5 linked regions of the Macaca mulatta genome follow. The protein of the gene in region 1 interacts with the protein of each later gene in a biochemical or structural test. Links are inferred from orthologs where the notes say so. Each region holds a gene or a part of one and is shown in the gene's direction. Other genes may lie near its edges.

Region 1 (5,461 bases):
CATCCTGGGTGTCAAAAGGAGACCCCCCTCTCTAAAAAATAATAGTTTGACAGTTTTCTTTCTTGTGCTACATAAAATAATTGTACACATTACAATTGAAGGCATCTTATAATAGAAATACCAGAAATGCCCTTTCCTGTTCCTTTTTAAGGCTGACCCAGTGCTCTAAGAGGCTGATACAGAAGGATAAAGTTAAGTCTCCACAAAACCCAGGGAAGAGACTGTGAAACTCCTCTTAGAACCTTGTATGGAGTCATAGCCGAACTAGGAAAAAAAAAAAAAAAAAAGGAAAGAAAGGCATTCCAGAGATAAAGAATAGACTAAGGAGAGGAGATACTTGAAGCCATAATGATTGAGAATATGTAAGACTTGAAATGAATCTTCAGTTCCTTCAACAAGATAAATAAAACTAAATCCATACCTAGATACATGGTAGAAAAACTAAAGAATTCCACTGACCAAGATATTAAAAGTAACTAAAGAGAAATGGTGTAAACAAAGCAGGAGAGAAACAACAAACCCTGTCCATCCTGTAACAATTGAAATTTTCTGGCTGGGTGCAGTGGCTCACGCCTGTAATCCCAGCACTTTGGGAGGCCAAAGCGGGTGGATCACCTGAGGTCAGGTGTTCGAGACCAGCTTGGCCAACATGGTGAAACCCCCGTCTCTACTAAAAATGCAAAAATTAGCCGGGTGTAGTGGTAGGCACCTGTAATCCCAGCTACTTGGGAGGCTGAGACAGGAGAATTGCTTGAACCTGGGAGGCGGAGGTTTCAGTGAGCCGAGATAGTGCCACTGCAGTCCAGCCGGGGCAACAGAGCAAGACTCTGTCTCAAAAAAAAAAAAAAATTGAATTTTTGACACAGATGAGCAATGATTAAAAAATGAGATTGCTAATATCTGTAGTTAGGAAAATAAAGATAAATGAGCATGTTCATACACAGTCTTGGCTAGAATGTAAATTGCAAACTTTTAGAGATTTAGTAACATTTATCAAAAATTTAGCCGGGCATGGTGGCACATGCCTGTAATCCCAGCACTTTGGGAGGCTGAGGCGGGTGATCACCTGAGGTCGGGAGTTCGAGACCAGCCTGGCCAACATGGTGAAACCCCGTCTCTACTAAAAAAAAAAAAAAAAAAAATTAGTCGGGCGCGGTGGTAGGCGCCTGTAATCCCAGCTACTCGGGAGGCTGAGGCAGGAGAATCATTTGAACCTGGGAGGCGGAGGTTGCAGTGAGCCGAGATCGCGCCACTGCACTCCAGCCTGAATGACAGAGCAGGACTCCATCTCAAAAAAAAAGAAAGAAAGAAAAGAAAAAAAATTAAATGTGTACGCTCTTTGACTCAGCTGTATTACTTCAAGGAGTTGATAGCACCAAAATTGCCTAAGTGCTCAAAGGTGTTTGTAATTAACAGGAGATTGATAAGTTACATACATGTGATGCTATCTTTTAAAGAGGTACTGATATAAAAAAGATGTACGTGGCATAAAATTAAATGTACTTTATTAAGTACTTTTTCGAAGTGTTTACGGAATGAGTGCATTTTGAAAAAAAAAAGTGTATTCGAACTTTCAAAAAAGCTTTAAAAGCTTTATACAAGGAACGATTGAGTGATTATAAGAGCTGGCAGTGGAATGTTAAGAGGTGAGAGGGAGCTAAGTTTAACATAACTCTTTATGGTGTGACACTTAGGAGCGCATCACTTTTGTAATTGAAAAATAAAGTGCATATTTGCAGCAGCTGTACTCTTCAGGCTACAAGGAGGCTTTTCCTCCCGGTAGGCTGGATTTGCTTTTCACTTTCACTTTCGTGGCTGGAAACTTTCTACCCACGGAGCTGGAGGCTGAGGAGGCACCATAAAGCTGGGGCTTGACGAACCGGGGCCTGGGCCGGATCCCCACATATGCCCGGACTTGTTCAGTGGTCAGGTTCAGGAGTCAGGCGAAGAGGCGGGGAGACCTGCGGGACGCTGCCCCGCCCTGCACCCGCTTCCTCCAATGTATGTCCTAGGGGGCGGGCCTCGCGGGGAGCATCGGCACGATTGGCCCTAAATTCTAACCCGCCCAGGCCGTGGGCCGGGCAGCGTGGTGACGTCGCAACGCGGCGCAGGGTAAGAGCGCGCGCTGGCGGACGCGGCGGCATTAAACGGTTGCAGGCGTAGCAGACTGGTAGTTCTGTTTCTAGGTCTCAGCTTCTCGTCACGACGTTCGCCCGCTCGCTCTGAGGCTCCTGAAGCGGAAACCGGCTAGACTTTCCTCCTTCCCGCCTGCCTGTAGCCGCGTTGCTGCCACTCCGCCACCATGTTCGAGGCGCGCCTGGTCCAGGGCTCCATCCTGAAGAAGGTGTTGGAGGCCCTCAAGGACCTCATCAACGAGGCCTGCTGGGATATTAGCTCCAGCGGCGTAAATCTGCAGAGCATGGACTCGTCCCACGTCTCCTTGGTGCAGCTCACCCTGCGGTCTGAGGGCTTCGACACCTACCGCTGCGACCGCAACCTGGCTATGGGCGTGAACCTCACCAGGTGAGCCTCGCGGCGTCGAGAAGCCGGCCCCGGCCCACCCCCACCTCCGGGGTTTGGCGGGATCGCTTCCGAGCCGAGCCCTCATTGGCTGGCGTGGACCATCCGCACCTTCTCATTGGCCTGCCATGCAGGGGGGTGGGGCCCAGCTGAGCGCGCGGTTCGGAAAAGCCCGCGCTGGCTGCTGCGCGAACCTGCTTTTTCGCGCCAAAGTCACAAAGCGGGTGGTGGCGGGAAAATGACTGGTTTTTCTGCAGTGCCAGGAACACTGCTCCAGAGCTTTTGCTCACTAAATCCTGTTGGCCTTGAATGGACGCTTTAGTTGTGGCTTTTTTGTTTCCGAGACGGTCTCGATGTGTTGGCCCGGGCTGGTCTCCAACTTCTGGGCTCAGGCGATCCTCCCGGCTCAGTCGCGATTGACTTTAAATGCTTTATAATGTGCCCTTGCGAGAAAAGTGTCAGCCTGTCATCCTACTTAGTGGCAGGAGATTGTTTCTATCCAGAAGGGAAACTGCTGGTGGTATTTTAGTATAAATACTGCCAGATGCATCCCAAAATGTCTGCATTAATATTCGCATCCTCCAGCAGTGCAATTACCCTCCACCAGTTCTGAGACGGCCTATGGGTGAGAGTGGTAACCCCTTCTAACTGCATTAGAAATACAGACCTTCAGTAGATGGTGTTGATTTTAAACCATGTGTCTCCTGTCTTCTAGTATGTCCAAAATACTAAAATGCGCCGGCAATGAAGATATCATTACACTAAGGGCTGAAGATAATGCGGATACCTTGGCGCTAGTATTTGAAGCACCCAGTAAGTCGTACCTTTTTACTGAGTTATGAAGCTACAGAAGATCAAAACTCTGTGCCAGTGTTTCTCAACAGCATTTGCTTTTTTTTGGTAGACCAGGAGAAAGTTTCAGACTATGAAATGAAGTTGATGGATTTGGATGTTGAACAACTTGGAATTCCAGTGAGTATCAGTTTCTGATTGTAGCGACTGCTGTACACAGGCATGATAGTTATATCATAGAATGTTGTTTATTTTTACAGACAGGGTCTTCCTCTTTTCCCCAGGCTGGAGTGCAGTGGTGCCATATAGCTCACTGTAACCTGGGACTCCTGGGCTCAAGCAATCCACTTAGTCTCCTAAGTGGCTAGGAAGGACTACAGATCTGTCCCACCACGCCTGGCTAATTTTTTTATTTTTGTGTGTGGGTGTGGGGGCAGTCTTGCCCAGGCTGGTCTGGAACTCCTGGCCTCAATGATCCTCCTCCGTCAAGATAAGTTAATATAATTTAAGCCTACTTCATAACAGAACTTTTTCTAGAAACATATCTACTGGTGCATGTTTTAAAGAGATTTTAGTATTTGGATAGTTGTTTACCACAAGTCTAAAACTCACTGGTTAAATTTATTGTTTACTGCCAGTTGTCTATTTGCATTAATTTCCATGAACCTCTTTTAAAATTTGCTTCCTTCTAGGATGGTTGGTTTTGTTTTGTTTTGTTTTGTTTTTGAGGCGGAGTCTCGCTCTGTCGCCCAGGCTGGAGTGCTGTGGCCGGATCTCAGCTCACTGCAAGCTCTGCCACCCAGATTTACGCCATTCTCCTGCCTCAGCTTCCCGAGTAGCTGGGACTACAGGCGCCCACCACCTCGCCCGGCTAGTTTTTTTTTTTTTTTTTTTTTTTTTTTTTTTGTATTTTTTAGTAGAGACGGGGTTTCACCAGGTTAGCCAGGATGGTCTCGATCTCCTGACCTTGTGATCCGCCTGTCTCGGCCTTCCAAAGTGCTGGGATTACAGGCTTGAGCCACCGCGCCCGGCCCGATGCTTGATTTTTGTTAAGTGGGTTTGAAAGCTATCTTAGAAGAAATGTATCCAGGTTAGGTTTATAAACACCAAAGGAGAGAAGAAATGTTGGAATGTTGAAAATGCCTAATATCATATTCTCTCGTTTTCTTTTAGAAAATAGTTAGACCTGCTTGCGCCGTCATCATTTCTGTGGCATACTCTAATGTTCTCTTACTTTATCCCTGGAGGATGAGGAGGAGGAGGCGCTTGTTCCCTGGGCAGTGCATTTAATAGCCATTTATTTTTTTTGAGTGGAGTTTGTTAAGAAATTACACGAGTCAGTAATCAGAAAATCTTGATTCTGAGTTGTTTAGATGTTGCCTTTTAAGAAAGTGAGGGTGCCAAATCATTAAATTTCTAACAAGTAACTTTTGGAAAATTTTTGTTCTTAATAGGAACAAGAGTACAGCTGTGTAGTAAAGATGCCTTCTGGTGAATTTGCACGTATATGCCGAGATCTCAGCCATATTGGAGATGCTGTTGTAATTTCCTGTGCAAAAGACGGCGTGAAATTTTCTGCAAGTGGAGAACTTGGAAATGGAAACATTAAATTGTCACAGACAAGTAATGTCGATAAAGAGGAGGAAGCTGTAAGTAGTTTTTAAGTAAAAAAAAAAGTTTGAAGAGAATTGTAATACTGCTTATTAGGTTAATTGCTAAAATTAAAAGTAGACAGAATTGGATCCCAAGTAATTTCTGAAAATTGAGATACTGTTGAAATCTGCAACTGATTTGTGTCATCCAATTTAGAATTATATTTGCAAGAAGGGAATACAAATTCAGCACGTGTACATACCACAGAACAATGGTTTATGGATCAAGCCCACACAGGCTCTTAAGGGTAGGATTGGGAAGCTAGGCATCTAACCTTTAGCTTTCTGGAGATATTTACTCTTACCAAATAAGCATAGAACAGCAACTCTATAGAAGGGTATGGTTAGGAGTAAAAGTCTACCTGTTAGGAGCGCTTATGTAATCCTTATATTAGCGTACATGTTGTGGGTCCAATTGGTAGCCCATTTTAAAGGTGGAGAAGCAGGCTGAGCAATCTTAAGTGACAATTTAGCCAAAGTCACAGGCTGTAGGAATC
Region 2 (4,814 bases), on another chromosome or scaffold:
AGCAGCAGCAGGATGAGACCAAACAAGCGCAAGAGGAGGCCCGCCGACTCAGGAGCAAGATGAAGACCATGGAGCAGTGAGTTTGGAGCTGGGTCCTGCACTGTGCCTTTGCCCCCAGGGCCTGCAAGTTCTTATGACTGCAACAGGGAGTGGGATTGGGTCATGTCCGAGGCTCGAATCTCCATAGGCCATGGAGGGCTGAGGTCAGCTGGGTGTGGGCACAGATCTTAGCCTCTATGAACTCTTCCACCATTCCAAGGAATGGGAGCCCTTGCCACATTCCTCCCTGTCTCTGTTGCCTGTGGCCAGATGACCTGGTGGGTTTTTCCCTCCAGGAACCTCTCTCCAGGAAATCCCTCACCTTGAGACCCTCTTTCAGCACCTCTTCTTTCTCAGCAGCATCCTTGGAGCTATGCTCATCTCTGCTGTGGGGCCTTTCCTTGGGCACACCCACCTGCTAAACATCCTAGCAGCCTAGCCTGTTACCTTAGCAACGGCAGCAAAGGAAGGCAGAGCTGCACTGGGTACCTACCCATCAGCCTCCAGATTGCAAATGCCGTGGGCTGGGTGTGTTTTTCAGGATTGAGCTTCTACTCCAGAGCCAGCGCCCAGAGGTGGAGGAGATGATCCGAGACATGGGTGTGGGACAGTCAGCGGTGGAACAGCTGGCTGTGTACTGTGTGTCTCTCAAGAAGTGCGTACTGTGGCCCCTCTCAGCAAACACAGGAGATAGGCCATGGGGCTCCCGCCATGTCATTGCTTCCCATCTCTTGTAAAGCAGATAGAGCTAAGGGGCAAACTCTGGAGCCATGCTGCCTTTGAACCCTGATTCCACCTCTCAGCAGCTATGTGGCCTGGTGCCAGTTTCTTGGCTTCTTTGACCTTCAGCTTCCTGAATGGAGATAGTAGTAGACCTGCCTCATAGGATTGTTGAGAGGATTGAGTGTGAATCTTTTTTTTTTTTTTTGAGACGGAGTCTCACTCTGTCGCCCAGGCTGGAGTGCAGTGGCGGGATCTCGGCTCACTGCAAGCTCCCCCTCCCGGGTTCACGCCGTTCTCCTGCCTCAGCCTCCTGAGTAGCTGGGACTACAGTCACCTGCCACTGCGCCCGGATAATTTTTTTATTTTTAGTAGAGATGGGGTTTCACCACGGTCTCAATCTCCTGACCTCGTGATCCGCCCGCCTCGGCCTCCCAAAGTGCTGGGATTACAGGCATGAGCCACCGCGCCTGGCCTGAGTGTGAGTCTTAAGTGCTGTTTCTAAGGGAGTTGACCTAGCTCTCTGAGCTATAAGCCCCATTGTGATTGATATCTAGAGCCTGTTCCCCTTTAGCACTATGATCCTGCCTGGCTTGGATCAAACTCGTATTCTTACTCTGGTGGGTGTAAGGTTGGCAGGAAGGGTGGAGGGTCACTTAGCTGAGAGGCATAGAGGGTCCAAGATGCTTCCTTTAAGACCAGGTGGTAGGCCGGGCGCGGTGGCTCAAGCCTGTAATCCCAGCACTTTGGGAGGCCGAGATGGGCAGATCACGAGGTCAGGAGATCGAGACCATCCTGGCTAACACGGTGAAACCCTGTCTCTACTAAAAAATACAAAAAACTAGCTGGGAGAGGTGGTGGGCGCCTGTAGTCCCAGCTACACGGGAGGCTGAGGCAGGAGAATGGCGTAAACCTGGGAGGCGGAGCTTGCAGTGAGCTGAGATCCGGCCACTGCACTCCAGCCGGGGCGATAGAGCGATACTCCCTCTCAAAAAAAAAAAAAAAAAAAAAAAAAAAAAGGCCAGGTGGTTTAGGGGGCCCCCTAGTGAGACTGGGGCTTTCTGCATGCCCTCTCAAGTCACGAGTGCCTGCAGGACAGGCAGGAGGAAAGAGTCACTTCCTTGCGTTCTCTGCAGGACCCTCCACAGTGCCACCTGGTACTTACTGGGCTCAGGTGTCAAAGTAGGAATGAGAATGAGTTGAGGGGTTGGGCAGTGCTTTGTGTTAGATTAGTGCTGTGGCTCAGTCTGACCTGCAGGTGTTCTTTTCTGGCATCTCTTTCCATGGCCACATTGCAGAGAGTACGAGAATCTAAAAGAGGCACGGAAGGCCTCAGGGGAGCTGGCTGAGAAGCTGAGGAAGGATTTGTTTTCCTCCAGAAGCAAGGTAACTTAGCAGTGAACACGGGTTGAAGGAGAGGCGGCTCTCCTTTTGTCATGCTCACTCTGGTCTCCTGAGCAAGGCCATGGGACCTGATGGCACAGCTGACTCCCTGGGGCAGCTGGATGACTTATAGAGATTTGTTACCAGTCCTTACTGGGCATTGGTCTGAATATGTGACTTGTCCAGTAGGGATAGACAGATCACAGAGGTGTCTGCCAACATGTGGACACTCATGCTCCCCTCTGCTCTTCCCAGCTCCTGGGTACCTCTCAGCTGGCTGGAGAGCACAGGCCCCAAATGTGACAGCGTCAGGGGCCTATTTTTGCACCATGTCTGGAGTAGGAGGGCTCCTGGAACCTCATTCGGTCAGCATAGCTGCTTTTACTTCTGGCATGGTGTAGCCACAGGCTGCAGGATATAGGAAGCAGCCTTTGCTTCTGGGCAGCTCCGGATGTGCATTGCCAGACTGAGGCCTAGCCTCAGAGAGCTGGGATCTCTTCCCATACCCCTAGTCTCTTCTAGACTCTAGGCTACCTTGATCACTCACTGGGGAGCAGCAGGAGGGGGCAGGGAACAAGGCTAACACTTGGCTTGTCCTTCACTCCCTACACTTTCTTATAGTTGCAGACAGTCTACTCTGAATTGGATCAGGCCAAGTTAGAACTGAAGTCAGCCCAGAAGGACTTACAGAGTGCTGACAAGGAAATCATGGTGAGGAACATCCCTGGCTTGACAGGAATGAGGGGTGGTTTGTGTGCCCTCCCAAAGCAGGGCTGGGCTATCTCTGCCCAGGACCCTTGCACCAGTCAGTGGTGGTTCTGGGCCCCTGCATCTTCCTGGGTGAGGGTGTGCCCCTTGGCCCTGGTCCGAACTGGAACCTGGGCCTCCTCAACAGAGGGCAGATAGCACCATGAGTCTTCCCTCATAGTCTGTCCTGTACTTACATCCCTGAGGTCCCTCATCAGAGGAGGGACTGTAGCTGGGGCTTGGCCTCCTGAGCCTAATAATGGGGTATCAGGCCTTGCTCTGTTCCCAGTGGGCCGGCCTTTCATGCATGCTAGTCATGTCCTCTGCATTATCTCTGGACTTGATGCCTCAGCCTTTCTCTCACACACTTTTTTTTCCCTCCCCAAGAGCCTGAAAAAGAAGCTAATGATGCTGCAGGAAACTTTGAACCTGCCACCAGTGGCCAATGAGACTGTCGACCGCCTGGTTTTAGAGAGGTTTGTTGAGCCTTGGGCGGTACAGGGGTCACAAGGTGGGAGAGCCTTCTGGTAACAGTCTTTACTCCTTCTGGCTTTGGTGGGGTGGGTGACCTTTGTGGACCTGATGTCTGCAGACAACCTGCCCTGGAAGCCAGCCAAGATTTAGCTGGCAGGCAGCTTTGAAGCAAATTAGTCTCTGACACGGAGAGGCCAGAGAAGGCCAGAGGACCTAGAAGTGGTCTGAGAATAGGGCAGGAGCACTGACTGTCTTGGGGCATCCTGTTTATGGAGTAGCTCCCCACATGTATCTGTCCACCCTAGATTTTGAAACAAATATGAAACCACTCTAAAATAATTCCCCTACTGCCAGGAGTGCATGCTTTAAAGCTGCCAGCAGAGGGAGCCAAGAGGCAGAAGGATTGGTGTCGCCGCAAGCATGGGCATCTGTTTCTGCTCCTGAGAGTTTCACAGAAACAGACTAGCTGAGAGCATCCTCAAGGCTACTTCCTGCCTGCCGAAAGTCCCCAGCAAGGACCCAGATAGAAGGCACACAACTCCTGTCAGTGGCCCCAGTTTTTTTTTTTTTTTTTAATGGAGTCTCACTCTGTTGCCAGGTTGGAGTGCAGTGGCATGATCTTGGCTTACTGCAATCTCTGCCTCCTGGATTCAAGCGATTCCCCTGACTCAGTCTCCCAAATAGCTGGTATTACAGGTGCACACCACCATGCCCGGCTAATTTTTTGTATTTTAGTAGAGACAGGGTTTCACCATGTTGGCCAGGATGGTCTCGATCTCCTGACCTCCTGATCCACCTGCCTCGGCCTCCCAAAGTGCTGGGATTACAGGTGTGAGCCACCATGCCTAGTTGCTTTTGTTTACTTTCTTTACCTCTTCAGTGTGCTGGAAGGCCTGGACTCCTACAGCAGGTCCTTGATGAGTGCCCACTGCATGGCAGGCCTTCTCTGTTCTCTTGGAGCTTATGTTCCAGTGGGATAGATGAGCTGGGAGTTTCGATGGCTAAGCCCACAGCCCACCAGCTATATACTACATTATAGAATCTGGTCTGTAGCTCCCAGATGGGGACAGGCCCACCTCATTCTGAGTAAGCTTCATGCCAGGGCCTGTAGCCCATTTGGTACAGGGAGGACAACAATGGTCTCCCTTGGCTTTCAGGCCAGCAGGACACTAAATTGACAAACCTTCGTAAGCTGGGCTGGGCTTGTCATCAAGCCACATGAGGATGACTTCATTCATTTTTGTCTCCAGTATTTTTCTGGGCATAACTATCGAAGTGGTTGGCTGAGTGCATTGACTCATACCTGTAATCTCAGCGCTTTGGGAGGCCAAGGTGGGAGGATTGCTTGAGTCCAGGAGTTCAAGACCAGCCTGGGCAACATAATGAGACCCTGTATCAAAAAACTTAAAACTGGCCGGGTGCGGTGGCTCAAGCCTGTAATCCCAGCACTT
Region 3 (4,814 bases), on another chromosome or scaffold:
ACAGGGTTTCACCATGTTGGCCAGGCTGGTCTTGAACTCCTGACCTCAGGTGAGCCACCGCACCCGGCAGGAACTTTCTTTCAAGCAAGTTGTTTTGGGGCTCTGAAGGCCTGTCATTTGGGAAATGGGATTTGGTGGGAGTATCTCAGGCCTGTTGTTTGGGAAGTGGGGATTTGGTGGGACTGTCTCATGGTTGTGTTGGAGGGCTATGCATTCCTTGTGCATATCTGACCACCAAGGCCTGAACTGTCTGTCAGAGAGTGGTCTCAGGCCCTACATGTGTCTGCCAGATGCCCGGGCCATGTGGGTAGGCACCCGACCCTGTTAAACAGCTCCACGATCACACATTCACCAGAAATTCAGAGGGGTGTTAAAAGAGGCCTCATGGGTGAGCTCAGAAATATCTTGTGACTCTCCCAAAGGAGACCAGGTGTGAATTACTCCATCTGGAAGAGGGGCAGCCAGCGCACGGTGTGCTCTGCCCTGGCCCTGACACTGTGAGTTTTGCGCCCCTGTCCTTTCCTCTGGCTCCCCAGCCAGCTGAGACTGGAACCTCAAAAGAGTGCCCGGGCATAGGGGAGCATGAACCCCAAATAAACTTCTGCTTTCTAACCCACAAGGAGTGTGCCGACCCTGAGAACCATAAGGTCCGCCAGAAACTGAAGGCCAAGGAGTGGGATGAGTTCCTGGCTAAGGGGAAGCGCTTTCGCGTCCTGCAGCCCGTCAAGATTGGCTGCGTGTGGGCAGCTGACAGAGACTGCGCAGGCGACGACCTGAAGGTACTGCAGCAGTTCGCAGCCTGCTTCCTGGAGACCGTGCCTGTCCAGGAGGAGCAGACGCCCAAGGCCTCCAAGGCCTCCAAGCGGGAGAACAGAGACCAGCAGAGTGAGTGTGGGTGGGGCTTCAGGCAGGGCCTCCCCTTCTCAGGGGCGTGGCCGGGCCACCCACCTGTTCCTGGGCCCAGCTAATTTCAGGGCTGAGGGCAAGAGTCTCACAGGCTAGTGGGTCCATGGTGCAAATGTTCTTTCCACAAATAACAGAGGCCAGCCCTCTTCCCGCACACATCCGTACATTCGATGATGTCCCCAGCGGCAGGACGAGGCAGGTCCAGGCTTGTTTTATCAACCAGGACTCAGGCGCAGAGTGTGCTGGAGTGGGGGCTACGCTTTCTCAAAAGCCAGGGAGGGGCCGGGCACAGTGGCTCAAGACTGTGATTCCAGCACTTTGGGAGGCCAAGGTGGGAGGATCGCTTGAGCCTAGTGCTTCGACACCAGCCTGGGCAACATGGCAAAACTTCATCTTTGCAGAAAATACAAAATTACCTGGGCATGGTCTCATGCACCTGTGATCCCAGCTGCTCATGAGGCTGAGGTGGGAGGATTGCTTGAGCCTAGGAGTTCCAGACTACAGTGAGCCATGATACTGCCACTGCACTCCAGCCTGGGTGACAGAGCGAGACCCCATCTAAAAAAAAAAAAAAAAACTCAAAAAACTGGGGAGGGACTATGGCACACAAGGAGAGCAGGGCTGCCATTTGGGTAGGAACAGCAGGCATTTGAAGTCAGCCCTGGCAACGCATGTGCCCGGCCAAGGCTCACTTCTGGGCAGGTGCGTGGGTGCTGCCCTGTCTTACGACCGCCCTCATGAGGCCACCTATCCCTGAAGCTGGCCATGCCCGGAGCCTCAGTGGCGAGGAGGAGCTGTGTGTGTTTTGGTTTTTGGCCTGTGGTGATAGGTGGCTCCCCAAACCTCATGCCCATCCATGTTCCCTCCCGCCAGTCCTGGCCCAGCTGCTGCCGCTCCTGCATGGCAACGTGAACGGGAGCAAGGTCATCATCCGGGAGTTCCAGGAGCACTGCCGCCGGGGACTGCTCAGCAAGCACACCGGCAGCCCCCCAAGCCCCTCCGCTACCTGCCTGCACACCACCAGCGAGGACGCTGCCATACCCTCTAAGTCCCGGCTCAAGCGGCTCATTTCCGAGAACTCAGTGTACGAGAAGCGGCCCGACTTCAGGATGTGCTGGTACGTGCACCCGCAGGTGCTACAGAGCTTCCAGCAGGAGCACCTGCCCGTGCCATGCCAGTGGAGCTACGTGACCTCAGTGCCCTCGGCCCCCAGAGAGGACAGTGGCAGCGTCCCCTCCACGGGACCCAGCCAGGGCACTCCCATCTCACTGAAGAGGAAGTCAGCGGGCAGCATGTGCATCACCCAATTCATGAAGAAGCGCAGGCACGACGGCCAGGTGAGGTGGGGCGGGCAGTGGGTGCCCCTGGGGGCAGTTTTCTTTGTTTGTTTTTTGTTGTTTTGTTTTATTTTTGAAATGTAGTCTTGCTCTGTGTCACCCAGGCTGGAGTGCAGTGGTGCGATCTCGGCTCACTGCAACCTCTACCTCCCGGGTTCAAGCGATTCTCCTGCCTCAGCCTCCTGAGTAGCTGGGATTACAGGTGTGCACCACCACACCTGGCTAATTTTTGTATTTTTAGTAGAGACAGGGTTTCACCATGTTGATCAGGCTGGTCTCAAACTCCTGACTTCGTGATCCACCTGCCTTGGCCTCCCAAAGTGCTGGGATTACAGGCGTGAGCCACCTCGCCCGGCGCTTTTGTGTTTTTTTAAAACTACTTTTTTTTTTTTTTGAGACGGAGTCTCGCTCTGTCACCCAGACTGGAGTGCAGTGGCCAGATCTCGGCTCACTGCAAGCTCCGCCTCCCGGGTTTACGCCATTCTCCTGCCTCAGCCTCCCGAGTAGCTGGGACAACAGGCGCCTGCCACCTTTCCTGGCCAGTTTTTTTGTATTTTTTAGAGATGGCGTTTCACCGTGTTAGCCAGGATGGTCTCGATCTCCTGACCTCGTGATCCGCCCATCTCGGCCTCCCAAAGTGCTGGGATTACAGGCTTGAGCCACTGTGCCCAGCCTAAAACTACTCTTAGAGCAGTTTTAGGGTCACAGCAAAATCGATTGGAAGGTACAGAAAGTTCCCATACACCTCCTTCCCCAAAGCCAAGCCAAGCCACGCGTTACCAACATCACCTTCCAGAGCAGTGGACTGGTTACAGTCATTGCACTCAGGCCGGGCACTGTGGCTTAAGCCTGTTATCCCAGCACTTTGGGAGGCCGAGGTGGGAGGATCACTTGAGCCTGGGAGTTGGAGACCAGCCTGGGCAACATGACAAAACTCCATCTCTATAAGAAAAAATTTTAAAATTAGCCAAGCAGGCCGGGCGCGGTGGCTCAAGCCTGTAATCCCAGCACTTTGGGAGGCCGAGGCGGGCGGATCACAAGGTCAGGAGATCGAGACCACAGTGAAACCCTGTCTCTACTAAAAATACAAAAAATTAGCCGGGCGCGGTGGCGGGCGCCTGTAGTCCCAGCTACTCAGGAGGCTGAGGCAGGAGAATGGCGGGAACCCGGGAGGCGGAGCTTGCAGTGAGCCGAGATCGCGCCACTGCACTCCAGCCTGGGCAACAGCGTGAGACTCCGTCTCAAAAAAAAAAAAAAAAAAAAAAAAAAAAAAAAAAAAAAAAAATTAGCCAAGCAGTGGCGGTGGCATGCATCTGTAGTCTCAGCTACTCAGGAGACTAAGGCGGGAGGATTGCTGGAGGCTAGGAGATAGAGGCTGCAGTGAGCTATGATCATGCCACTGCACTGCAACCTGGGCGACAGCGAGACCCTGTCTCTAAAAATAAATACATAAAATCACCACCACCCAGAGTCTACGGTCTCTGTTAGGGTTGGTTCCTGGTGTAGAGGGTTCTGTGATTTGAATGGATGTTGGATGCTGTGCGTCCACCTTTATTGCTCTGAACAAAGAGGCCTCTCCCTGCTGAAAGGCCCCTGTGCTCTGTCCATCCAGTCCCCTGGAAATCGCCAACCTGTCTGTCTCGGTGGATCGGCCTTTTCCAGATTGCCCCGTAGCTGGAATCGCACCGCGTGTGGCTCCTTTCACTTGGCAGTATGCATTGACAGTTCCCCCATGTCTGTTCGTGGCTTGATAGCTCATTTTTTTTTCACACCGAATAATATCCCATGTGGTAGCATTTTTATTTTTGTTCAACGGTTCTTGAATTTTGCATTCAAGCACAGTTATTAAGCACTTACTGTGTGCCAGGCACTCTGATCGGTCTTTCAGACACAGGGATATGCAGAACGCCGCCCAGTGTAAGCCACAGACAGGAGCCTGTAAGGGGAATGAATGGCTGTGTGATTCCAGCCTCATGGGTGCCTCAGAGGCACAAATGCATGGAGCCATGGGGTGTGTGATGGGGGCACTGCCTGATCTTAGGAAAAAACTCCCATGCCCATAGAGCCAGTGGCCCCTGGCACCCACCCCTGGCCATAGATCAGCTTTAGTAACATTCATTGCATACTTTTTGTCCTTATCACACTGTTTGTAACTGAGTTTCTCTCTTTTTTTTTTTTTTGTTTTGTTTTGTTGTGTTTTTTGAGTCGGGAGTCTTACTCTGTTGCCTAGGCTGTAGTGCAGTGGTAAGATCACCACTCACTGCAGCCTTGACCTCCCCAGTCTCAGGCGATTCTCCCACCTCAGCCTCCTGTGTAGCTGAGAGGGACTACAGGTGCATGCCACCACACCCAGCTAATTTTTTGTAGAGACAGGGTTTCACCATGTTGCCCAGGCTGGTCTCCAACTCCTGGGCTTAAGCAATCCCCTTGCCTTGGCCCCGCAAGGCACTGGGATTGTAGGTATGAGCCACTGTGCCTGGCTCCCTGAGTTTCATTTCTAATCTGTACTCTTAACACAGACCTATCTGTCCCTGTGAACCTTAGGCTTTCCTCCGAGGCCACGATCTGATG
Region 4 (4,747 bases), on another chromosome or scaffold:
CTACTAAAAGTACAAAAATGTTAGCCGGGTGCCGTGGCTCATACCTATAATCCCAGTTACTTGGGAGGCTGAAGAGGGAGATTTGTGTGAACCTGGGAGGTAGAGGTTGCAGTGAGCCAAGATCACGCCACTGCACTCTAGCCTGGGCAACAGAGCAAGACTCTGTCTTAAAAAAAAAAAAAAAAGGGCCGGGCGCGGTGGCTCACGCCTGTAATCCCAGCACTTTGGGAGGCCGAGGCGGGCGGATCACAAGGTCAGGAGATCGAGACCACGGTGAAACCCCGTCTCTACTAAAAATACAAAAAAATTAGCCGGGCGCAGTTGTGGGCGCCTATAGTCCCAGCTACTCGGGAGGCTGAGGCAGGAGAATGGCGTGAACCCGGGAGGCGGAGCTTGCAGTGAGCCGAGATCGCGCCACTGCGCTCCAGCCTGGGCGACAGAGCCAGACTCCGTCTCAAAAAAAAAAAAAAAAAAAAAAAAAAAGATCGAGTTTAAAGTTAGGCTTCAATTTTCTTTTTCCTTTTCCTTTTTTTTTTGAGACAAAGTCTCGCACTTTTGCCCAGGTTGGAGTGTAGTGGCTCTATCTCGGCTCACTGCAAGCTCTGCCTCCAGGGTTCATGCCATTCTCCTACGTCAGCCTCTGGAGTAGCTGGGACTGTAGGTGCTCGCTACCACACCCGGCTAATTTTTGTATTTTTGGTAGAGACGGGGTTTCACCGTGTTAGCCAGGGTGGTCTCGATCTCCTGACCTTGTGATCCACTCGCCTCGGCCTCCCAAAGTGCTGGGATTACAGGCGTGAGCCACCGCACCCAGCAGGATTTTCTTAATGTTGGTTGCTTTTAAGTTAAGATTTGTAGTTGTCCAAGAAATAAGATTTGGGTTTGGTTTAGAGTTGGGTTAGCTATTAAGTTCATGTAAAAGCTAGATTAGAGAGACATTGGGCTGCATTTCGGGTAGATGTGTCATTTGTTCAATGGGCATTAGGATTAGGAGCTGCTTGTAATAGGCAAGGTTTGCTCACTTTGGTCAGGGATTCTGAAAGAGTGGGATCCCATGGAGTCTGGCCCAGTTTGATTGAAATCAGCCTCCAGCTTCATTCCAGGCCACAAGGCTATGAGGCCGGTATGAGATGGATGGACAGGCCTCTTTGTCTGCCCATCACCAGGCCTTGGTGCTAGTGATGACACCGTCACTCCGCCATGGTATCCAGGCATGGAGAATGCCTCAGTCAGTCCCCAGCCCATTGGAACAAAAGAGGCTTCCCACCTGGCCTCCTGTGCCCCCATTTAAGGGCTCGAGCCATAGAAGTTTTGATGGGATTACTCACATGGACCTCCTCCTTCCATTCTCTTGGGAGGCTCAAGAAGGGAGTAAGGGGATTAGCAGAGCCCTCCTGTCAGGAGACTTGAGGTGTCCAGGGCCCCAGAATTCTCCATGTCCTGGGGTGGAGGCGGGAGGCCATCTGCATATGAAAGAACCTCAGTGTCTCAGGGGTGGAGGCTAATGGGTTTGTTTTTCCTCAGAGGGACAATCCTTCAGCTGACAGTTGCCATCTCAGCTCCCTCCCCACCAAGAAAGGATGTGGCTCTTGGCTCAGAACTGCCCCCTCTTTGCTTTCTTTCCTCTCCTTTCCCACAGGTGCAGCTGTATTTCTGTACTCCACTTTCTCCCGGGCCTGGGCCTGGCGCATGCTGCCAGCCACCTGCTCAGGCCTCAAGCCCCAGCTCACATATTCCAAACCTTTAGCTCCAAATCAGTAGATATCTGGGGCTACCTAGACCTGACTGAGGGCTTTCAGCAACTGGCCCCTTGTCCTAAGTGGAGTTTCACAGACCTGGGCATGTGGGCTGGGGCAGGGGCAGAGAGAGTCTGTGTCTCCCTACTCTTAAAGAGCTCCATGGGGCAAGCTCAGTGCCCACTCTGACAAGCAGAGCTGGCACCTTCTCCCATCTCTTCTCAGGCTTGCCTCTTGCACAGTGAGCTTTTTCTTCTCTCCTGTCCTAGTGAAGGGAAAGAACAGCAGCTCCCCACGGTGGATTCCCGCAGGCTTGCAGCAGGCATTGGGGAATGGGCATAAGCTGAGGGTGTGGGCCCGAGTCCGGGAAGGCCCTTGTGCTGCTGTGGGAGAGGAGCTCCCCACGGCCCCTCACCTGTCACTGCTCTCTCCCAGGTCCAGAAAGCAGCCCAGGCCTTTAACTCCGGGCTGCTATGTGTGGCATGTGGTTCATACCGACGGGGAAAGGCAACCTGTGGTGATGTCGACGTGCTCATCACTCACCCAGATGGCCGGTCCCACCGGGGTATCTTCAGCCGCCTCCTTGACAGCCTTCGGCAGCAAGGTATGAGCTCCATCTCTGGGTGAGCAGGTTGACAGAGGGCAGCACAGGGCTGGGGGCCCCTGAGGGAGAACCTTAGAAGTTCCAGTCCCGAGGCAGGAAGCAGAGGAACAGTGCTTTGCCAGCATCCCATCTCTATCGGGGCTGGAATCCTCTCCAGGGAGAGATGAAGCAGCCCTGCCACACCTATGTGGAGGTGCTCAGTGAACCCTGCAGGCCGAGTATCTCATCTGATCTTTCTGTGACACTATGGGGGAGATGGGAATTACTATCCATGTTTTACAGAAAAGGAGAAGGGCCCAGAGAGGGTAGTGTCACCCAGCTAATACCTGGGCAAGCCCCAGCTTAGAGATCAGGAGAGACCTGAGAGTATGGGATAGCCCAGGCCTGGCTCCCTGCCCTCCCAGTAGTCCCCTCTATTGGGCCAGGGTTCCTCACAGATGACTTGGTGAGCCAAGAGGAGAATGGTCAGCAACAGAAGTACTTGGGGGTGTGCCGGCTCCCAGGGCCAGGGTGGCGACACCGGCGCCTGGACATCATCGTGGTGCCCTACAGCGAGTTTGCCTGTGCCCTGCTCTACTTTACCGGCTCTGCACACTTCAACCGCTCCATGCGAGCCCTGGCCAAGACCAAGGGCATGAGTCTGTCAGAACATGCCCTCAGCACTGCTGTGGTCCGGAACACCCATGGCTGCAAGATGGGGCCTGGCCGAGTGCTGCCCACTCCCACTGAGAAGGATGTCTTCAGGCTCTTAGGCCTCCCCTACCGAGAACCTGCTGAGCGGGACTGGTGACCCATGGCTGGGGGTGCGGAGGAGAGCTGAGTTGGACTGGCTACCCCTCCTGGCCACCCAGTGGAGTACTCCCTCCAGCCTCAGCTGGCCAAACCTTGCTGCTCCAACCACCAGCTTCCTCAGCGAGCTGGGCCCAGGGCTCTGGGCCTGAAGCGAGAGCCAGCATGGCTCCCAGTATCTACCCAGTCCTCTCCCAGACAGGAGCAGGCTGCCTCGAGGAATTTTGCAAGTGGCCCCTTATCCCATTTTAAGCAGGAGCAGGTGGCTGATTTGAAGCCCCAGGCATCCCCCTTCCCTGCTGTGAGAAAGGCTGAGCTGCTGGGTGGGGACAGAAGCTGCCGGGGAGAGGGAAGCAGCTGTGCTGTCAACATCGTCCAAGACCCTCTGGGGTAGGAGAACAGCCATTCCACACGTGTTCCCTCTACCCATGCTGCTTCCTGGGCAGCTGGTGGTGCTGGGAATGGGGTGCCCCAGCCTCTGTGAGGACAGTGTTGGAAGGCCCAGGGGCCCAGTAAAGTGCATCTGACATTGAACCTGCCTGGTGTCTGAACTGCTGCAGCTTCTACCTACCTTCTTCCACCCAGGCAGGGACGACGGAGATGGGAACTGAAAAGAGGAGCCCAGAAAGGCTGTGTTAACTGCCCTCTAGACAGGACTGGCGTGAGTCAGCTCCTAAACTCACAGCAAGGATAGCAGTGGTTGTGACCAGGGAGAATCGTGGAGTCAGGCACCTGGAGCTCCTATCTAGCCATCACCAACTTCTGCAGGCCCTGCCTTAGACCAGGCTATCAGGGACATAAGCAAAAGTGGCAAGACTCAGGAAACCATTAGGAACAACTAAATAGTGACCTGTGTATACAGGGATGGGCGGCCAGGGAAGGCTTCCCGGAGGAGGAGAGAGGCAGACTGGCAGGGAAATTGCCTCTGAGAGGAGTCAGCAGGCTCTGTTGGGGGACAATTAAGGACCAGCTTTAGAGAGGACACTGTGTGCTGGGAGTCAGGAGCAGGCTGGGCTGGTAGAGGACTGGAAGCAGAGCTTGGTTTGATAGAGCAGACGAGAGCAGGTCCCGCTGGGGAGTGCAGGATGGCTTCCTGAGGCTGTTTCGCAGGGCAGGGAGACTTGGTGGGGCAGTGGGGGCATGGAAGGAGATTCAGGCAGCCCAGGTATGAGGAGGAGCGGGCACAGAGTCAGAAGGAGACTGTATTGGAGGAGGAGCGAGGAGCCTGGAGAGGCCCTGTGCTGGGTTTTGGGTGGTGGCGCGTGAGGGCAGCTTTGGCTCCAGAGGGGGAATCCCACCTTGAGTGTGCTGGGTGGGCGACATGCCTGTTGGTAACTTGCAGAGTCGCGGAGCCAGCCTTTGTCTGCCTGGTCTTGATCATGGGATCCTAGCAGCCTGGGAGTAGGCCCCTCAACTCAAGCTCACACCCCTGACGTGTAAGTCAGGGAGTCTTCCCATCACTGATCATATTGGGAAAGGAATCAGAAGCCCACAGGACCTGGAGGGCCCTTTCACAGCTCAGCACCAACCCGAGAGATGGCCAGTCAAAAGCCCAGAAGCCTTCTGGAGGGGCGAGCCTCTCCCCCAAGAACGTTTACTCCCAGAGACACATGGCTGC
Region 5 (4,814 bases), on another chromosome or scaffold:
AACCATTGGAACCTGGAAGGCAGAGGCTGCAGTGAGCCGAGATCCCGCCACTGCACTCCAGCCTGGGCAACAGAGTGAGACTCTGTCTAAAACAAAAAACAAACAAAAAAATTCAGTTGGGAAGGGGAATAATAATTACTGGCTAAAATGGGATTTTAGGTTAGGCATAGTGGCTCATGGCTGTAATCTCAGCACATTAGGAAGCTGAGGCAAGAGATTGCTTGAGCCCACGAGTTCAAGACCAGCCTGGACAACCCAGTGAAATCACGTCTCTACAAAAAAAATTTTAAAATTAGCTGGACGTGGTGGCACGAGCGTGTAGTCCCAGCTACTTGGGAGGCTGAGGCAGGAGGATAACATGAGCCTGGGAGGTCGAAGCTGCAGTGAGCCATGATCACGCCACTGTACTCCAGCCTGGGCAATAGAGCGAGACCCCCATCTCAAAAACAAAATAAAATGGGATTTCAGCTTGTGTTTGGAAAGGGGAGTAAAAGTTTTTGGCTGAAATGGTATTTTAATTTTTTTTTTTTTTTTTTTTTTTGAGGTGGAGTCTTGCCCTGTCACCCAGGCTGGAGTGCAATGGTATGATCTCGGCTCAATGCAACCTCTGCCTCCCAGCTTCAAACTGTTCTCCTGCCTCAGTCTCCCCAGTCGCTGGGATTAAAGGCGCCTGCCGTCATGCCCAGCTAATTTTTGTATTTTTAGTAGAGACAGGGTTTCACCATATTGGCCAGGCTGGTCTTGAACTCCTGACCTCGTGATCCGCCCTCCTCGGCCTCCCAAAGTGCTGGGATTACAGGTGCGAGCCACCACGCCCGGCCTCTTATTCTTTGTGGTATTTTTATCACCATGTTTTATAAATAATTGGTTATACTTCCATAATCTTATGTCCATAAACCTTTCTGAATTTTTCTAACATGTAAATGACTTTTTTCTAGAAGTTAGGAAGTCATACAGAATAATGTATTCTGGTGGGTGCAGTAGCTCATGCCTATAATTGCAACACTTTGCAAGGCCAGGATCGCTTGAGGCCAGGAATTTGAGACTAGCCTAGGTAACGTAGTGAGACTCCATCTCTACAAAAAATAAAAAATTAGCTGGTGTAGTGACATGCACTTGTAATCTTAGCTACTCAAGAGGCTGAGGCAAGAGGATCACTTGAGCCCAGAAGTTGAAGGCTGCAGTGAGCTACAGCTGTGCCAGCGCACTCCAGCGTGGACAACAGAGAGAGACTCTGTCTCATAAATAAATAAATAACATATTGTATATGTTGTAGGGTAGAACTGTTACCATTAAGTTGAAGAATGTGAATTTTGAAGTAAAAACTCGTGCATCTACAGTTTCATCTGTTGTTTCTACTGCAGAAGAAATATTTGCCATTGCTAAGGAATTGCTAAAAACAGAAATTGATGCTGATTTTCCGCATCCCTTGAGATTAAGACTTATGGGTATGACTTTTTTATTTTTTTGTTTTTCCTTAAATCTGCTAGGTTTTCCTAAATAATTCACTTTGGGAATACAGGGGGCCCCCAACTTAACAATGGTTCAACTTAATGATTTTTCAACTTTGCGATGGTGGGAAAGTTGTATGCTTTCAGTACACTTTTGACTTACAGTGCGGTTACATCCTGATAAACCTGTCATAAATTGAAAGTATTGTAAGTTGACTTATTATGTTTTCAATTTACAGTGGGTTTATCTGGATACAATCCTATTGTAAGTCAGTGAGCACCTGTATTCTCGCCTTCATTTTATTTCTTAAATCTGTTTAGGAAGTTCTTCCTTTGCTGCTGCCATTTATCTTAATTATTAGACCCTGATGTGTGAAGCCATGATCATTAGTTTAATTCCAGTAAGAGCCAATTAAAGTTGTTCTTTTCCTCATAACTTAATGAAATTCTTGTGGCCAGGTATCTTTCAAAATTCAAAACTTTTCAGATTTTGGAAAGCAAATTCAGTGCATGTAGAGTATATTATGTTGTAATACTTCTTTGTGGATCTGGGGCAACACCCCCTATTCAAACATATTAATATTTCTATAGCAAAACAAAATATTCAGAGACTGTAAAGACTGATGACTTTAATTTAGTCATCAAATATCACTTGTTGCTTACAATTTTCAGAACTTTTTGGATTTTGGAATTACAGATAAAGGATTGTGACATTGTGAAATCACATCTCCAAGCCATTACATGGTAAAAACTAACAAGCCATGTTTCCAAAGTGAACTGGTTGAAAGTATGTATATGGATCAGCACTCCAAATGCACATTTTACTAGTAAGGAGTGGGTCACTAGCCATACTTTCATTTATGAAAGATATAGCACACACTGAAATCTACTGAATAAAGTGTTAATTCAAAGAGCCAGGCCAGGCGTGGTGTCTCACACCTGTAATCCCAACACTTTGGGAGGTCAAGGCAGGTGGATCGCCTGAGGTCAGGAGTTTGAGACCAGCCTGGCCAACATAGTGAAACCCCATCTCTACTAAAACTACAAAAAATCAGCTGGACACGGTGGTGGGCACCTGTAATCCCAGCTGCTCGAGAGGCAGAGGCAGGAGAATCGCTTGAACCTGGGAAGTGGAGGTTGCAGTGAGCTGAGATCACACCATTGCACTCCAGCCTGGGCAACAAGAGTGAAACTCTACCTCAAAAAAAAAAAAAAAAAAAAAAAAAAAGCCAAGAGCAGGTATCTATAGAAGCTTAATTCATAATTGCCAAAACTTTGAAACAAGCAAAATGTCCTTCGGTACATGAATGAATAAATAAACTGTGGTACATACAGACAGTGGAATAATATTCAGCACAGAAAAGAAGTGAATTATCAATTCATGAAAAGACATGAATGAAACTTAACTGCATAATGTTAAGTAAAAGAAGCCAATCTGGGCCGGGCGCGGTGGCTCAAGCCTGTAATCCCAGCACTTTGGGAGGCCGAGGCGGGTGGATCACGAGGTCAGGAGATCGAGACTATCCTGGCTAACATGGTGAAACCCCGTCTCTACTAAAAATACAAAAAACTAGCCGGGCGTGGTGGCGGGCGCCTGTAGTCTCAGCTACTTGGGAGGCTGAGGAGGGAGAATGGCGTGAACCCGGGAGACGGAGCTTGCAGTGAGCCAAGATCACGCCACTGCACTCCAGCCTGGGAGACACAGCGAGACTCCGTCTCAAAAAAAAAAAAAAAAAAGAAGCCAATCTGAAAAAACTAAATACTGTATGATTCCAACCATATGAGATTCTGGAAAAGGCAAATATGAGTACCATAAAAAATAATTGATTGTCAGGAGTTAAGAGGAGAAGAAGAGATGAATAGGCAAAAACACAGGAATTTTAGGGCAATGAAATGATTCTGTATGATTCTATAATGACACGTCATTATAAATTTGTCCAGGCACACAGAATGTATTCCAAGGGTGAACCCTATGTAAGCTATGGACTTTGAGTGACAATGTTGTGGCAATGTAGGTTTATAGATTGTAACAAATGTACCACTCTGGTGCCACATGTTGATAGTTGGGGTGGAGGGGTATGCTTGTGTAGGGGAAGGGAATCTATGGGAACTCATTGTACCTTCTGCTCAATTTTGCTGTGAACCTAAAATTTCTCTAAAAAATAAAGTTTATTAGAAAAAAAAGAGCTAAAGAGTCTGTATAGTTGACTCCGGTTAGTTACTGGTATTAATGTAATGGTATGTGTCATATATGAATTAAAATCCTACATCATTATGCTAACTCCAAATAGATAGTTAATATTTAATGATATTCTTTTATAAAGGAAGGTAAATTTGTACTTATAATAACAGCTTTGAAATGTGACTTATTTTTTCTCTCTAGCCAACCTTTTGCATATGTCATAGCACTAGACAAAATGTTTTTATGCATTATGAGTGAATTGGCTTTGTTCAATATGAAATTGATTGTGATTGGTTTAATTTAGGTGTTCGGATATCTAGTTTTCCCAATGAAGAAGACAGGAAACACCAACAAAGGAGCATTATTGGCTTTTTACAGGCGGGAAACCAAGCCCTGTCAGCCACTGGGTGTATACTAGAGAAAACAGACAAAGATCAGTTTGTAAAACCTCTAGAAATGTCTCATAAGAAGAGTTTCTTTGATAAAAAACGATCAGAAAGGAAATGGAGTCACCAAGATACATTTAAATGTGAAACTGTGAATAAACAAAGTTTCCAGACATCACAACCATTCCAAGTTTTAAAGAAGAAGATGAGTGAGAATTTGGAAATACCAGAGAATTCAGATAACTGTCAGATATTTACCTGTCCTGTTTGCTTTAGGGCACAAGGGTGCATCAGTCTGGAAGCCTTTAATAAACATGTAGATGCATGTCTTGATGGATCTTCAATCAGTGAAAACTCTAAAGTGTTCTCGTGTTCACATGTTTCTGCTACCAGAGTTAACAAGAAAGAAAATGTTCCTGCTTCTTCACTTTGTGAGAAGCAAGATTATGAAGCCCATCCAAAAATTAAAGAAGTGTCTTCAGTAGATTGTGTAGCTTTAGTAGATACTATAGATAACTCATCTAAAGCAGAAAGCATAGATGCTTTAAGTAATAAGCATATCAAGGGAGAATGTTCTAATCTCCCAGGCAAGTCTTTTAATATTGAACACTGTCATCAGAATTCTTCTTGCACTGTTTCGTTGGAAAACGAAGATGTTGGATTATTAAGCAGACAAGAATCCTGCCAGCCTTACTTATGTGAAGTGATAACAGGCCAAGCTCTAGTTTGTCCTGTTTGTAATGTAGAACAAAAGACTTCAGATCTAACCCTGTTCAATGTGCATGTGGATGTTTG

What was found.
Region 2: the proteins of PCNA (region 1) and TRAIP form a complex in vitro, tested with the Homo sapiens proteins (2 studies listed by BioGRID, with this or other methods). The link is inferred for Macaca mulatta from reciprocal best matches to the Homo sapiens genes PCNA and TRAIP.
Region 3: the proteins of PCNA (region 1) and CHAF1A form a complex in vitro, tested with the Homo sapiens proteins (4 studies listed by BioGRID and IntAct). The link is inferred for Macaca mulatta from reciprocal best matches to the Homo sapiens genes PCNA and CHAF1A.
Region 4: the proteins of PCNA (region 1) and POLL form a complex in vitro, tested with the Homo sapiens proteins (3 studies listed by BioGRID). The link is inferred for Macaca mulatta from reciprocal best matches to the Homo sapiens genes PCNA and POLL.
Region 5: the proteins of PCNA (region 1) and POLK form a complex in vitro, tested with the Homo sapiens proteins (2 studies listed by BioGRID, with this or other methods). The link is inferred for Macaca mulatta from reciprocal best matches to the Homo sapiens genes PCNA and POLK.

The regions. Positions count from the first base shown.
Region 1 is NC_133415.1:78,832,717-78,838,177, forward strand, and holds the start of PCNA (proliferating cell nuclear antigen), read left to right. Parts: upstream 1-2,110; 5' UTR 2,111-2,302; coding exon 2,303-2,523; intron 2,524-3,235; coding exon 3,236-3,333; intron 3,334-3,424; coding exon 3,425-3,492; intron 3,493-4,766; coding exon 4,767-4,961; intron 4,962-5,461. UniProt on the Homo sapiens protein: Auxiliary protein of DNA polymerase delta and epsilon, is involved in the control of eukaryotic DNA replication by increasing the polymerase's processibility during elongation of the leading strand.
Region 2 is NC_133407.1:113,315,568-113,320,381, reverse strand, and holds part of TRAIP (E3 ubiquitin-protein ligase TRAIP), read left to right. Parts: coding exon 1-76; intron 77-580; coding exon 581-694; intron 695-2,057; coding exon 2,058-2,145; intron 2,146-2,763; coding exon 2,764-2,853; intron 2,854-3,276; coding exon 3,277-3,365; intron 3,366-4,814. UniProt on the Homo sapiens protein: E3 ubiquitin ligase required to protect genome stability in response to replication stress.
Region 3 is NC_133424.1:5,265,057-5,269,870, forward strand, and holds part of CHAF1A (chromatin assembly factor 1 subunit A), read left to right. Parts: intron 1-620; coding exon 621-885; intron 886-1,779; coding exon 1,780-2,243; intron 2,244-4,814. UniProt on the Homo sapiens protein: Acts as a component of the histone chaperone complex chromatin assembly factor 1 (CAF-1), which assembles histone octamers onto DNA during replication and repair.
Region 4 is NC_133414.1:113,652,969-113,657,715, reverse strand, and holds the end of POLL (DNA polymerase lambda), read left to right. Parts: intron 1-2,171; coding exon 2,172-2,340; intron 2,341-2,765; coding exon 2,766-3,130; 3' UTR 3,131-3,647; downstream 3,648-4,747.
Region 5 is NC_133411.1:81,997,951-82,002,764, forward strand, and holds part of POLK (DNA polymerase kappa), read left to right. Parts: intron 1-1,276; coding exon 1,277-1,448; intron 1,449-3,937; coding exon 3,938-4,814. UniProt on the Homo sapiens protein: DNA polymerase specifically involved in DNA repair. Plays an important role in translesion synthesis, where the normal high-fidelity DNA polymerases cannot proceed and DNA synthesis stalls.